Linked DNA regions of Lonchura striata. The protein of the gene in region 2 purifies or fractionates together with the protein of the main gene of each other region. This does not show direct contact. Links are inferred from orthologs where the notes say so. Each region holds a gene or a part of one and is shown on either strand. Other genes may lie near its edges.

The links. Proteins that work in one complex are often made in the same cells at the same time.
Region 1: the proteins of CLK3 (region 2) and PSME3IP1 purify together in Homo sapiens (affinity purification with mass spectrometry; 3 studies listed by BioGRID and IntAct, counting the BioPlex papers as one, with this or other methods). This does not show direct contact. The link is inferred for Lonchura striata from reciprocal best matches to the Homo sapiens genes CLK3 and PSME3IP1.

The regions. Positions count from the first base shown.
Region 1 is NC_134615.1:17,136,564-17,143,883, reverse strand, and holds the start of PSME3IP1 (PSME3-interacting protein), read right to left. Parts: upstream 3,011-7,320; 5' UTR 2,915-3,010; intron 1-2,914. UniProt on the Homo sapiens protein: Promotes the association of the proteasome activator complex subunit PSME3 with the 20S proteasome and regulates its activity.
Region 2 is NC_134613.1:6,013,101-6,020,736, forward strand, and holds the start of CLK3 (dual specificity protein kinase CLK3), read right to left. Parts: upstream 3,073-7,636; 5' UTR 3,053-3,072; coding exon 2,904-3,052; intron 1-2,903. UniProt on the Homo sapiens protein: Dual specificity kinase acting on both serine/threonine and tyrosine-containing substrates. Phosphorylates serine- and arginine-rich (SR) proteins of the spliceosomal complex.

The DNA of each region.
Region 1 (7,320 bases), on a different chromosome or scaffold from region 2:
GAGTGAAACATGATTAAATATCCTGAAACACACACCTGCTGCCCTTACAATAACTTCAGCTCTCTAAAGAACACTGCATAGTAAGCACTGACTGAGACACAAACTCACTGCATAACTGCTAAGACTAATAAGCATCATCTATTACTCCTTCTTTACTCTTTTTTTCATAATTATGTCTTTCCTGCTAGTTGTCTGCCTCAGGCTGCTTTTTTTTTTTTTAAGTAGTGTTCTAATGGATTTACTTTGCTGAAGTAAATACTTTTTAAAAATAAACACCCTCACCTACACTCTCATCCTTTTATTTTTGTTCCTCCACATCTGTTCTGAAGAGAGATAAAGTGATGGCAAAGCACTAAAATCCATGTTCTTTTTGCCCAAGCTATGAAAATTTGAGAAAGCTTGCCTGTTTTCAGTTGTTGAATGCATGTAGTTAGAAATGATTAACCAGAAATTACCAGCTGTTCTGGTTTTGGCTGGGACAGAGTTAAACTTCTTAGCAGCTCGTACAGCTCTGTGGTTTGGGCTTGGTGTGACAACATTGATAACAGCCTTGCAGTTTTAGCCTAAGTCAAGGACTCCCCAGTGTCTCAGCCTGCCCAGCAAGGAGCTACACGAGAAGTGTGAGAGAGCATGGCCAGGACAGCTGTCCTGAACTGGCCAAAGGGACATTGCACAGAACCATGGCCACAGAAAAATGTTTGTATCACTGTGCCCAGCATATAAACTGGGGGGATCTGGCTAGGAAGTCAACAGCTGAGTGAGAGAGGGAATTCCCCATGGCTAAAACAGAGCTGGGCTTAGAAAATGAGCATCACGTCCCCTGGAGAGCACAGTCCCTTCCCACACAGTGCAGCCACCCTCTGCTTCAAGATTTCAGTACCAGGTGCAGGGTGGAGATGCTCCAAGTAGACAGCCTAACAAGGAAACTTGTGGTTTTGACACCTGAAAGCCCAGGATGAAACAAACTGCTTCTCTGAGTCCTAGGTGTCTCCCTCCAGAATTATTTTGCCAGATCCATGCTACACCATGAAGCCCTAATGCCTGTTTTTGTTTCAAGCCTGTACATCAAAACAGTACACAGAAATACAACACAAGCACAACACACAGAGCTGTTCCTTTAAAGACATGCCAACATAACTTTTTTCTGCTTTATTTTCTCCCTGGTATAACTGCAGCAAGTTAAGGACTGCCCACAGTTCTGCCAAGTACTGTTCATTTGGGATCTCACCCTGCATTTCAGCACAGAAGAGATCCCAGAGCAGTTACTCTTCCAAGGAGGAAGGGATGCAGTAACCCAAGTGAGGGAAGAAACCTGTTTATCATCCTTCCTTCACACCACAAGGAATCAGTCCTGCAGGAAGTCCTGCAATCCTTACAAAAACTGATACTTTTGGGGGTACTGCTTGTAACAAAAATGAAAAAACTGAGGTCTCAGGAGAAATCCAGGTTAGAGCACTGGGCAAATATTTGTTACAGCAGGGTGCATTCTTAAGGTTAGTATTACTAAAAGAAGTTAAGACAAAAGAATTCTCTTAAGAGCTGGGGACAGGAAGGACAGATCCAAGGCTGGTCACTTTCTCTTTTTTTAAACTTTTCTTTATTTTTCAATATCCAACAAAAAAATCCACCCTAAGAGCCGAAGTCCACTTTCCAGAAAGCATGGAACACTTGCTCTTTGAGTGTCATTTCTGAAGGTGGTTCAAGATGGAAATCTACAGAGAAGATAAAAATTGAACCTCACAGCTGAATACAAGTCCTGATCACAAGGCCAGCTTTCCTATCCAAGTGCTGCATAAACAACATAAATTGTTTCTTCACTTGTGTAATCTCAACCTATATATTTAGAGAGGAAACAAAAGGTTCCAATATAATGGTGACAGAAAGTAATAAAAGCAAACTGAGAGAAAGGGATTCTTCAAGAACACAGCATCCTCTGGGGACTACAGCCTTCAGCAGCAAACCATCGTCAGTTCACTCAGACAATAGATTTTAAGATACACAAAGTAGATTAGGGTTTAATTATGGACTGAGAGGCAGCGGTGGTGCTTTGAACACCAGTGTCTGACACTGACAACCCCATCTTGGGGAAAAGAGATGAGGGGGGGGAAAAACCCATCTAGCAGCATCAGATTAAAGTTCACTTGCACTTAAAAAGTTTGGTAACCTCGCTGTATTGTTTGCCCTCTCCCATCTGAAGCTAACACACACAAAGCAGGCCCAACAAAAAACATGCACTTGGCAACTTTTCCCTATTTATCTGTGTTTTCATCTGGTGACTGTATTCTAGGGCTATGCTGTCACCGCAAAGGCAAAAGTTTGTCACAGCTGTAAACCACATGTTTTTATAACACCAGACGGTAACTTCCCCAGGATCAAAAAAAAAACCTCCCAAACGTCACAACTCTTGCTACCACTCAGGCTGAAACAGATGCAGAGCAGCGACGGTGCCCCGGGTACTCGAGTGCAGCTTCCAATCGATTCAGCGCTGTTTAAGTAACAAAGGCAACTTACCTGCCCGTCTCATCAACCCACCGCTGATGACGGCCGGGCAGCGCTCCCGCACCGCGTCAAGCGCGGCGCCGCGCCTGGAGCCGCCCGGAGCCGGAGGGGATCAATCGGCCCCGCCGGCCTGAGCCGGCCCCGGGCCCGCTCCCTGCGCTCCGCCGGACCTCGGTGCCGGGAGCCTGCCGCGCGTGCCGGGCTCGAGCTGCTCCGAGCCCTCACCGCGACCTCCTCTCCCCTCCGCACCTTCCCTCCAGCCCCTCGTCCCGGGAGCGGCCGCCGCGCTCGCGGGGCCCAGGCCCGAGCCTCTTCACCCCTGCACCCCAAGGGCCGGCGGCCCGGCTTCGGCCGCTATCCCGCGCCCGGGCGCTCCCTCCGGCCCCACCGCCGCGGGCCCGCCCCCGGCACGTACCGCGGCCCCTCACAGCGAGCGGCACCGGCGGGCCCGCAGCGCCGCCATTGACCCCGCTCCCCTCCGCCGGCCGCGCCGCCCCGCCCCTTCCGCCCGCCGCGGCCAACCGCGCGAGCGCTTCCTCCGCCGGCCCCGCCCCCGCGGCAGCCAATCCCCGCCGCTCCCACGGCGGGCAGGGCGGCGCGCGGAGAGGGCGGGGGTTGGCTGCGGGGATGACGTCACGGCGGCCCCGCGCCGCGATTGGGCGAAGCTGCGAGGCGGGGGCGGGGCCGAGGGCGGGGCGGGTCGCCCGGGAGACGGCGGGGGGCGGGCCCGGGGCGGGGCGGGCCCGGGGCGGGGCGGGCCCGGGGCGGGGCGGGCCCGGGGCGGGGCGGGCCCGGGGCGGGGCGGGGCCGTGAGGCGCCTCCATCTTTCGGCACAAAGGAGCGGCGGCAGCGCCGGGCCGGGGCGGAGGGCGCGGGGTCCGCGGCGGCCCCGCTGCGCTCCCGGCGGGGCTGCGCGGAGCTGAGGTGAGGCAGGGCGGGAGCGGCCCGGCTGGGGGCTGCCGAGGGGCGCGCATCGGGGTGAGGGGAAGGGACGGTGCCGGGCTGGGCGCCGGTGGCCCCGCCGGTGGCCCCATTGCCGGCCGTGCGCTAATGAGTGAAGGCACCGTGCTCAGCCTCCCCGCCCTCCGCTCCCCCAGGGGCCCCCGGCGTGGCTCCCGGTTGGGGTGGGAGCCGGGCCGGCGCAGCCCCCCGGCCCCAGGCTGCGGCCCGGGGTCCGTCGGCTCCGGTGGTTGGTGCAGGTCCCCCCAGGGATCGCCGGTGTCCCCCGCCCGCCTCGCCGGGGCCATCTGGGGGGCAAGCCGCGGTAAGAAGCGGGTGGCCAGGGCGCAGCCCCCGGGCTGGCTGCGCTCTCGCGGAGGCCCCGGAGCTGGGCAGGGCTGGCGTGGGGAGCCGGGCGCTCGCTGAAGGAAGCGCTAAGAGGTGAATGAACGGGGGTTCGGCGAGCTGGGGCGCCCCGAGCCCGGCGCTGCTCGGGGCCCGCAGGGGTTGGAGCTTCCTAACGGCGCCTGCCGGGTGCGCGGAGAGCTCCCGGTGCTCGTATGACTTGCAAAACACGGGCTCGGCTACAGCGGGTTTGGTGTGCGGGGGGCAAAATGACTCGGAACCGCGGAGTCACGGACCCGACGTGCTGCTCGGGCAGCTCGGAAACGCGGCGGGGCCGCTGAGCCCTTGAACATCGCTCTATGAATGTGAGCAGTCAGAATCCTGAAAGCTGTTTATGGCTCTCGGTGTCAAAATGTTTCTCCACAGCAAGTTTTCTGGCTTTACAGAGGAAATGTGAAGGTGTGGAGCGGGGCAAATGCACTCATTCACCTGGATCTTTTGTTTTAAGTTCTTGGGTGATGGAATAGGCAGCGGCACCTTTGCTACGGGTGCGGCAGCACCTCGGCTCTGCTCTCCCAATTCAGGGCTTATAAAGCAGGATTTTTTCACTGCTTGTATTATGCCCATATCGAGCATGAGTTTCTCTTTTAAGCCCTTTGATTCTGATCGCTGTTTCTATCTCGAAGGCCTTCATTAACCCCTTCTTTTTAGGCGCTGCTGGTTTTTTCTGCTGTGTAGCAGTATGCGTGTGCACTGTCTGTTCTAGGTTCAGTCGTAGTGTAGGTCCCAGGAATGACTGTAGTCACCTGAGTTTCATTTTCTGTTTCGTTATTGCAAACTCTGATCCCTGAGCCCAGAGTTCATTTTGGTGCTCAGCCAGTGTTATCAGTTTTTCTCACACTGTGAAACTTTGGTCCATGGAGAAACACAAACATACGAGCTGCCTTTTCTCTCCTAAATTAATTCAGCCTGCTGTTTTCTGAATGCTGGTGGTTTTGGTAGTTTTTTTGTTTTTTTTTCATTTTATGTCTGTATCAGTGTTTGTGTTCTTCAGTGTAAGAGGTTTTTTTCTACTTGGCACTAGCTTTGCCTCAGGGTTTTAGTTTTTCTGTTCTTTGTCTTGCATTGAATGCGTGTATTTGTTTTGGTGTTTTCCTTTCTCATGCTGGTCCTCAGTTCTGCTTTTCTACTAGTTTTCTGTACATCCATCACTGCTATGAAATTGTTGTGTGGAAACCTACATCCACTTGTTTACTGTGACTTCCCTTGTTTTCTTCCTGGTATTAAAATTTTTGCTGTTTTCTTGTTAAATTATACAGATTTTAAAGCAGTGCATGTTTTCATCACCTTTGAGCCACCTGAAATATTCCCTTGCATTTCATCTCCTCTTGGACTCCTGCACTTGACTGTGGATTTCCAGAGGACTGTGCATTCTCAAAACTTGTCATATTATTTTAAGAGTCTGTGGTGCGGTTAAATGTGGTTTTGTTTTGCATTTATCCAAATGCACAGAATTGATCTGTTCTTTGATCTAAATCTGGCCCATTCTTCTCTAAGCGCTTTTCCCTGTGTCTTTGTTCTCCACCGAAGTCCACTCAGCAAAATGGGCCCTTTCTCCTCCTGGCACCCATTCCTCTGTGCCTCCCTTTAGGACATTGCTGTTATTGCTTTGTGCCCCAATCTCTGCTGTTTGCTCCTATTTATAGGTCTGCTTGAACAGATTGTGAATTTCCTGTGGTGTGTTCTTTTTCAGATGAGTGAAGCACAATTGTAGTTGCATGATCACTTCTTGTCTCTTCCCTTTTCATCCAGACATTCTCTTGAGGTTCCTGCTAAATGAAAGTTTTCCGTTTCCCCTGTCCATCACTTGAGTAGGAAACTCCTCCAGGGTATTTTAGTGCTGTGCTTTGCATTCTGCACAACTCTTGTTTTAACTGTTGCTGATGCTGATTGTTTATTAGCTCAGCCTTGGTTGTTTACCCACTCTTAGGTTGCTGATAGAGCTAATCCAGCTTGTCCACACACCTCCCTTATCTTCAGCTGTGATACCAGTGTGTGTTTGCAGGAAGGTGGGCTTGTTGGTTTCCCTGAGGTCTTTAACTTTCCTTTTTATTTGCCTTCAGCCTCCTATACAGGGAGTTTCACTGCAATGCTTTGTGGTAGCCACTGTGGTATCTACTCTGTGGCCTCATAATTTGGTGATCACTCAGTAGGCTCTCTTGTTCTCTTACTGATACATTATTCTGTGCTTTTCTTAATGTTCTTTTTTTACCCTTAGAGGGACATGATGGTTTTCTGCACAACCCTGCAGTGCTCTCCCTTGGTGCATTATCAGTGTTTTCACATAGGAGGTCTTAGCTTGAAGTGCATTTCATTTGCTGTAAGTCTAATGGATAGGACTGAAATAGAATAGAATGTTTTGGTTCCCTCCTGTAAAGTAAGACATCCCTCATATTCTGCCCATCAGGTGGAATCAGTCAATTCTCCTCAAGCTTTTTGCTTGCTTGTTAAAATTAAGGAACAACAGGAAGATATTTATTAGTGTAAGCAATAATACGGCAGTGATTTGTCATAGAACACTTACTGGCCTGTGACTCTTCAGGTTTCTTCATTCAAATTCCCTTTCTTATTATCTCTCTTACTTGGCAATGTGCTGTGTTTGGAAATGTCCTCTGTTGGTCATGTAGCTATGGGCTGATATCCTCACAAAGTATAGTAAGGCTCATCATGTGCACTGTGTATTTCCCTGTCAACACAGAGGCAGCAACTTAAAATGCTGTCAGCTTGTAGGAAATTGAAGGCCGGCTAGTGTCATGATATTTGTCCTGTTCTGCTCCATTATCAATATGTTATGTTCAGAATTTCAAACTGGTTCTGTGGGTTTTTTTGCTCTATTGAACTTATGATTGCTCAGTAGAGTTTGAATTTATTCATTGCTTTAGAGCAGTGCAGGCAGTGATCTTACACTGAGATTCCTTGTCTTTAGGTATCTCGTGTGCTTTTTATCGCCTTGTGTCCTGACAATATATTTGATTTTCCTGGTCTGTCTGTGGTAACTGTAAAGCTGGCATTGCAGGGCAGTGACTGTGCCAGCAGGATCTTTATTTCCTTTTCTATTCTTCATTATGTTGCTGAGGTCTAATAAAAGTCAAATGTTCACACATGACTCAGGAGGTTGCGTGACTGACCAATGCATCATGTTCTCTCTTCAGAAGTGCTTGTAATTACCTGCCCTTGATCTGCCATTACTGTGACCAGGTTTGTGCTCTGGCAGCACAGCTCTGCCATGGGAACTTGGTGTGTTTGGTGGGCTTTGCCCATGCAGCAGGGATACCTGGCAGTCCGAAGTCTGGGATGAGGTGCTGCTCCTTGGTTTTTAATGCATGTTTATTAGATGGAGTTCAGTGAATAACCATGATCAGGAACAAGAAATCTATCTTTTTTCCTAATAAATCTCTCCCCCTCAGGGAAGTAGTGGTTTCTGAGCATATGAAACACAACTATCATTATTTTTCTCCCTTTCAAAGGTTTTTTTTT
Region 2 (7,636 bases):
CCTGCCTCAACAGCGACAGGGACTGACAGATTGTTTTGTATCCAATTCAGGGAAAGAATCGGGTCATTCTCTGGAGAAAAGCCCCTTTTCCTAACGCCCACCCTGACACAGCTCCCTGCTGTCCCCCTGGGTCCCATCAGCAGTCACCACGGAGAAATCCTCCTGCTCCCACTCCCTGTGCCAGAGGCTTCAAATCTTTCTGCACCTCAAACTCTGGCCAGCGAGGAGAAGCTCTGGAGGGAAAACAGTGAGGCATTCCCACATTTTAAGGTGTGGGGGGAAAACCACCCTCAGAGAGCTCCAGCTGGGCTGCCTGCCTTGCTGTGGATCCCACCTCTGGAGTGTCCAAGCTGGGTTGGACAGAGCTTGGAGCAGCCTGGGACAGTGGAAGGTGTCCCTGCCCATGGCAGGGGGTGGCACTGGGTGAGCTTAAGGTCCCTTCCAACCCCTCAACACTCCATGATTCCACCTGTGCCACGGCACACTGGTGTTTGTCACCATTCCTCCTCCCTCGAGGAGGTGTCTCATTAGTTCTTAACCAAACGAGGAGCAGCAGCAGGGCTCTGGTTGTCACCCCAGGGGCACAGGAGGTCCCAGGGCACCAAAGCCTCGGTGTGCACGCACAGAGCAGCCCCACGGATCATCAGCAAGAGGCAGAAGGGAAATCTGTCCCCAGGCTCCTGCCCCTCGAGCAACAACCTCCCAGGACACACGGCCAAACTGTGCATCAGGAGGGGCCAGGACCAAGCTCAGCGGTGCAGGCACCGACACACGGGTGACACACGCGAGGTTTTGGGCACCTCAGGGATGAGAGCAGCTCTCCCTGCTTCTGCCTCCAAAATACAAGTGCCTTCCCCACCAGACTGCACTGGAGGCTTGCTTCACACCCCCTTGAGAAAGGAGCTGTGTTTCAGGTAGAAGATGTTGCAATCTGAAATAAAAGCAGCGCTCTGGCTCCCCAGAGATAACCCTGGGCCAGGCTGGTGCCATCACCCAGCAACAGCTTTGCCAGCCGAGCCTTTCAGCCTGGGAATGGGAATTTCTGCTGTCTGCACCTCCCTGCCCCGTCAGCAACCAGGACACTGCTGGCAGCTCCATGGGGCACTTGTGGGGGCATCCCAGAGTGGGTCCCAACTCCAGACTGTGCCAGGGCAGCCGTGGCTCTCACTGACTGCTGAAGTACCCAGAACACAACCCCACAGCTCTGCCCAGCACCGGCCCAGACACTCCCTGGGGTGCAAACAGAAATAATGACCCGGAGCACTCAGGTCTCCTCAAAGAGGCTGAGACAGAAGAGACAAGGCTGTTTTCACCCAACCCTACTTTCATCCAAATCTGTTCCAAATGACCCATCAGATGGAAATAAAAAAGGAAAAGCTCGCTGCGCGCACCAGCTCTATTTCACAATCCACCTCCTTCACGTAAACAAAAGCCAGGCTGGGGAGAGAAATTAATCTGGGGAGCATTTGAGGAATTTAAAGATGAGCTCAGCTCCTGCCTGGCTGCACCTGCCCAGTCCAACCAGTGGAACCACAGCAGCCCCAGCAGCAGCAGTGCAGTGCAGCCGCTCCAGCCTCTGCTCCAGAACCTCCCTGAGGCCTCGTCCCGCTCCCAGCTCCCAGCCGTCCCCGTGGGAGCGCTGGAAAAGCGAGGAGCAAAGGTAAAACCCCACAGCAAGGCAGAGAGATCGGCCAGCAGCAGGATCCCTCAGCTGGGATCCTGTCTGAGGCGAGGGAGGAGCGCGGTGGCTTTAAATGTGATTTTAATCCTGGCAGGGATCCTGGCAGGACAGCCTGTAATGCAGCATGGAAACGTGATTCCAGCGCAGGCTGCTCCCTCCTTGACGCCGCGGCTTCGGGAGAACTTCAGCGCCGCAGGGAGAGCGCACACACAGACAGACAGACAGACAGACACAGACAGACAGACAGACAGACACACATACACACAGAGACAGACAGAGACAGACACACACAGAGACAGGCACACACACAGACACACACGGACAGACACAGACAGACACACACAGAGACAGGCACACACACAGACACACACGGACAGACACAGACACACACACACAGAGACAGGCACACACAGACATGCACAGACAGAAAGACACACACAGACACACACAGACAGACAGACAGACAGACATGCACACACAGACACAGGCAGACAGACACACAGACACACAGACAGACACACACACACAGAGACACACACACACAGACACACAGACACACACACACACATACACACAGAGACAGACAGACAGACAGAGACAGACACACACAGAGACAGGCACACACACAGACACACACGGACAGACACGCACAAACACACACACACATGCAGACATAGACAGACACAGACAGACACACACACAGAGATAGACACACACACAGACACACACAGACAGATACACACACACGCACACACACGCAGACACAGACAGACAGACACAGACACACACACACACACACACAGACACACAGGCACACACACACACACGCAGACACACACACACACACACACACAGGCACACACACACACAAGTAAACCCTTCCCTTCCATCCCCGGGATTTACAGCTGGTCCACAGCCAGGAGCCGAGCTCAGCACGGCAGTTTTGGGGGCAGCTCTGCACGGCAGTTTTAGGGTAAGCTCAGCACGGTGCTTTTAGGGGCAGCGCTCTCGGGGTCAGGGGCAGCGCTCTCGGGGTTCAGGGGCAGCTCAGGTCGGCAGTTTTGGGGGCAGCGCTCTCGGGGTTCAGGGGCAGCCCAGGTCGGCAGTTTTGGGGGGCAGCCCAGCACAGGGTTCAGGGGCAGCGCTCTCGGGGTTCAGGGGCAGCCCAGGTCGGCAGTTTTGGGGGGCAGCCCAGCACAGGGGTCAGGGGCAGCGCTCTCACCTCCTGGAGCGCGACCTGCGGGCCGCGTCCCGGCGGGGCGGGTACCGCAGCCGGGCCTCGTCCTCCCGGCTCCGCGAGCGCCGCCGCTTCCAGCGGTGCCCCGGCTCGCCGTCCTGCTCGGGGCACCGCAGCCTCCTGCAGTGATGCATCTGCGGGAACGGCGCGGCGCTCAGCCCCGGCCCGGCCCGGCCCGGCCCGGCCCGGCCCGGCCCGGCCGTTACCGGCCCCGCGCCCGCCGCCCCCGGCCTCACCGCCGCCACCGCGGCCGCGGCCCGGCCCGCGGCCCCGAGCGCCGCTTCCGCTTCCCGGCCGGGTCAGACCCGCCCCGCCGCGCCGGGCCGGGCCGTGCCGGGGCGGGCCGGGGCGGGCCGGGCCGGGCCGGGCCGGGCCGTGCCGGGCCTGCATCGCCGCCGCCCTCAGCCCCGGCACGGCTTCCTCCGCGGGACCGCTCACCGCGGCCAGCCCGCCCCGGCGCGGCTCGCTCAGCACGGCTTCCTCAGCATGGTCATCCTCACCATGGTCATCCTCAGCATGGTCATCCTCACCATGGTCATCCTCAGCACGGCCAGCCTCACCTCAGCACGGCTTCCTCACCATGGTCATCCTCAGCATGGCTTCCTCACCATGGTCATCCTCAGCATGGTCATCCTCACCATGGTCATCCTCAGCATGGTCATCCTCAGCATGGTCATCCTCACCATGGTCATCCTCAGCACGGCCAGCCTCACCTCAGCACGGCTTCCTCACCATGGTCATCCTCAGCATGGCTTCCTCACCATGGTCATCCTCAGCATGGTCATCCTCACCATGGTCATCCTCAGCATGGTCATCCTCAGCATGGTCATCCTCACCATGGTCATCCTCAGCACGGCCAGCCTCACCTCAGCACGGCTTCCTCACCATGGTCATCCTCAGCATGGCTTCCTCACCATGGTCATCCTCAGCATGGTCATCCTCACCATGGTCATCCTCAGCATGGTCATCCTCACCTCAGCCATCCTCACCTCAGCACGGCTTCCTCACCATGGTCATCCTCAGCATGGTCATCCTCACCATGGTCATCCTCAGCACGGCTTCCTCACCATGGTCATCCTCACCATGGCCATCCTCACCTCAGCCATCCTCACCTCAGCATGGCTTCCTCACCATGGTCATCCTCATCATGGTCATCCTCACCTCAGCACGGCCAGCCTCACCATGGTCATCCTCAGCATGGCCATCCTCACCATGGTCATCCTCACCATGGCCATCCTCACCTCAGCACGGCTTCCTCACCATGGCCAGCCCCACCTCAGCACGGCTTCCTCAGCATGGACATCTTCACCATGGTCATCCTCACCATGGTCATCCTCAGCATGGCCAGCCCCACCTCAGCATGGCTTCCTCACCATGGCCATCTTCACCTCAGCACAGCTTCCTCAGCATGGCCATCCTCACCATGGTCATCCTCACCTCAACACAGCTTCCTCACCATGGCCAGCCTCACCATGGTCATCCACAGCATGGCCAGCGCCACCTCAGCACGGCTTCCTTAGCATGGCCATCCTCACCATGGTCATCCTCACCATGATCATCCTCACCATGGCCAGCCTCACCTCAGCATGGCTTCCTCACCATGGTCATCCTCACCATGGCCGTCCTCACCATGGTCATCCTTACCACGGCCATCCTCACTATGGCCATTGCCTCAGCATGGCTTCCTGACCACGGCCAGCCTCACCATGGTCATCTTCACCTTGATCATCCTCACCATGGTCATCCATCATCACCACCATCCTCACCTTCAGCACAGCTTCCTTCCCGTGGGACTGCTCACCAAGGCCAGCCTCAGCATGGCCATCCATCACCACCACTATCCTCACCCTCAGCACGGCTTTCTCACCATGGCCATCCTCACCATGGTCATCCTCACCATGGTCATCCTCACCATGGTCATCCTCACCATGGCCATCCTCACCATGGCCAGCCTCACCCTCAGCACAGCTTCCTCACCATGGTCATCCTCACCATGGTCATCCTCACCATGTTCATCCTCGCCATGGCCATCCTCACCCTCAGCACCATGCCTTCCTCCCCGTGCTCTGACTCACTGTGGTGGTCAGGGCCATCCTCACCACAGCCTTCCTCTCCATGGCCATCCTCACCTTCCACACAGCCTTCCTCGCCAGGGTCTTCCTCCTCACAGTCTGCCTCACCATGACCTTCGTCTCCAGAGTCTGCCTTCACCATGGCCAGCCTCTCCCTCAGCATGGTCTTCCCTTCTTCATCTGCCTCACCGTGGTCTTCCTCATCACATCTTCCTCACCACAGGGCCTTCCTCGCCGTGGTCATCCTCACCGTGATGACCCCCACAGTGACAGCCTTGGCCACGGCCTTCCTCCCTGTGGTGACCCTCCCGTGGTCTTCTCTGTGGTGGCCCATGGACAGGAGAGAGAGCTCCACACACATGGTCATTCCCAACCCCTTCATTAATTTATCAAGCACTCATTAGGGCCAGCAATCAATTAAAAATGCCGATTGACTCCTTTATCACCAGGTGGGCTGGAAGGGGCAGGAGATGCCACCACCGTGGTGGCCACCTGGTCACCTCCTGAGCTGGTCACCTCCTGAGCTGGTCACTTCCTCAGCCATGGTCACCTCCTGAGCCTGGTCACCTCCTGAGCCTGGTCACCTCCTGAGCTGGTCACTTCCTCAGCCATGGTCACCTCCTGAGCCTGGTCACCTCCTGAGCCTGGTCACCTCACCTGCCAGCGAGGGAGGCTGGCAGCTCCCACGTGGGGCCTGGGGGGCTGCAGGACCCCTTGGAGCCCTGTGGAGCTGTGGGGAGAGCACAGAGCTCCTGAGGTTTCATCTGGCCCTCCCTTCTGGAGAGCAGGGACCTCCAAAGTCCTCAGCTCACATCCCAGAGAGCAAGGAGAGCCAGAGGTGACAACCGCCAGCAGGACAGAAAGCCACATGCTAATTTTGGACCATAAATAAATATATTTCAAGCTCTTTGGGGCCATCTTGGAGATCCCTAGATCTCTGTTATGCTCCCAGTGCTCGTTTCCATCCAGTGGTAGAATCACGGAGTGGTTTGGGTTGGAAGGAGCCCCAAAGATCATCTCATTCCAACCCTCCCCCGTGCTTGGAAGAGAGAGGTTTGAGAGGGAATAAGAGAATCTGCCAAGCAAAAGGAGGGGAAGCCGTTCCCGGTGCCCACCCGGGCACGTTCCGGTCCCCGTGCCCTACCGGGGGTGCCCGGCACGCGGGAGAGGCAGCCCAGGGCCTCTGCCCTGTGCAGCAGCACCTGGATGTGCCCGGCCGGAGCCTGGCGCTGCAGCAGGAGCTGGGCCAGGGGCCTGGGGGCCAGGAGAACACGCTGCAGCCCAGGCTGGGAGCACTGCAGTGCTGGGAGGCGAGGAGAGGGCAGGGGACACTGTGAGACCTCCTCCAGCCTCATCGTGGCCTTCCAGCTCCGAAATCATCGTGTCCTTCCAGCTCTGACCTCATCGTGTCCTTCCAGCTCCGAAATCATCGTGTCCTTCCAGCTCCGAAATCGTGTCCTTCCAGCTCCGACCTCATTGTGTCCTTCCAGCTCCGACCTCATCCAACCCTTCCAGCTCCAACCTCATTGTGTCCTTCCAGCTCCAACCTCATTGTGTCCTTCCAGCTCCAACCTCATCCAGTCCTTCCAGCTCCGACCTCATTGTGTCCTTCCAGCTCCAATCTCATTGTGTCCTTCCAGCTCCGAAATCATCGTGTCCTTGCAGCTCCGAAATCGTGTCCTTCCAGCTCCAACCTCATTGTGTCCTTCCAGCTCCAATCTCATTGTGTCCTTCCAGCTCCAAACTCGTGTCCTTCCAGCTCTGACCTCATTGTGTCCTTCCAGCTCCGACCTCATTGTGTCCTTCCAGCTCCGAAATCATTGTGTCCTTCCAGCTCCAAACTCGTGTCCTTCCAGCTCCGAAATCATTGTGACCTTCCAGCTCCAACCTCATAGTGCCCTTCCAGCTCCGAAATCATCGTGTCCTTCCAGCTCCGACCTCATTGTGTCCTTCCAGCTCCGACCTCATTGTGTCCTTCCAGCTCCAATCTCATTGTGTCCTTCCAGCTCCAACCTCATTGTGTCCTTCCAGCTCCGACCTCATCCAGCCCTTCCAGCTCCGACCTCATCCAGCCCTTCCAGCTCCAACCTCATCCAGCCCTTCCAGCTCCAACCTCATTGTGTCCTTCCAGCTCCAACCTCATCCAGCCCTTCCAGCTCCAACCTCATTGTGTCCTTCCAGCTCCGAAATCATCGTGTCCTTCCAGCTCCAGCCTCATCGTGTCCTTCCAGCTCCGAAATCGTGTCCTTCCAGCTCCAATCTCATTGTGTCCTTCCAGCTCCGACCTCATTGTGTCCTTCCAGCTCCAATCTCATTGTGTCCTTCCAGCTCCGAAATCATCGTGTCCTTCCAGCTCCGAAATCATCGTGTCCTTCCAGCTCCGAAATCGTGTCCTTCCAGCTCCAACCTCATCGTGTCCTTCCAGCTCCAACCTCACCCAGCCCTTCCAGCTCCGACCTCATCCAGCCCTTCCAGCTCCAACCTCATCCAGCCCTTCCAGCTCCATCCCTTCCAGCCCAGCCATGTTCCTCTCCCAGCAGGGTCCGGGCCGGGCAGGAAGGAGGCAGCCCGGTGGGTTTGGTGCCCAGCAGCGCTGCAGGGGTGCTGCCAGCTCTGTTTGCCCCTTCCACCCGCTGAGGATGAGGT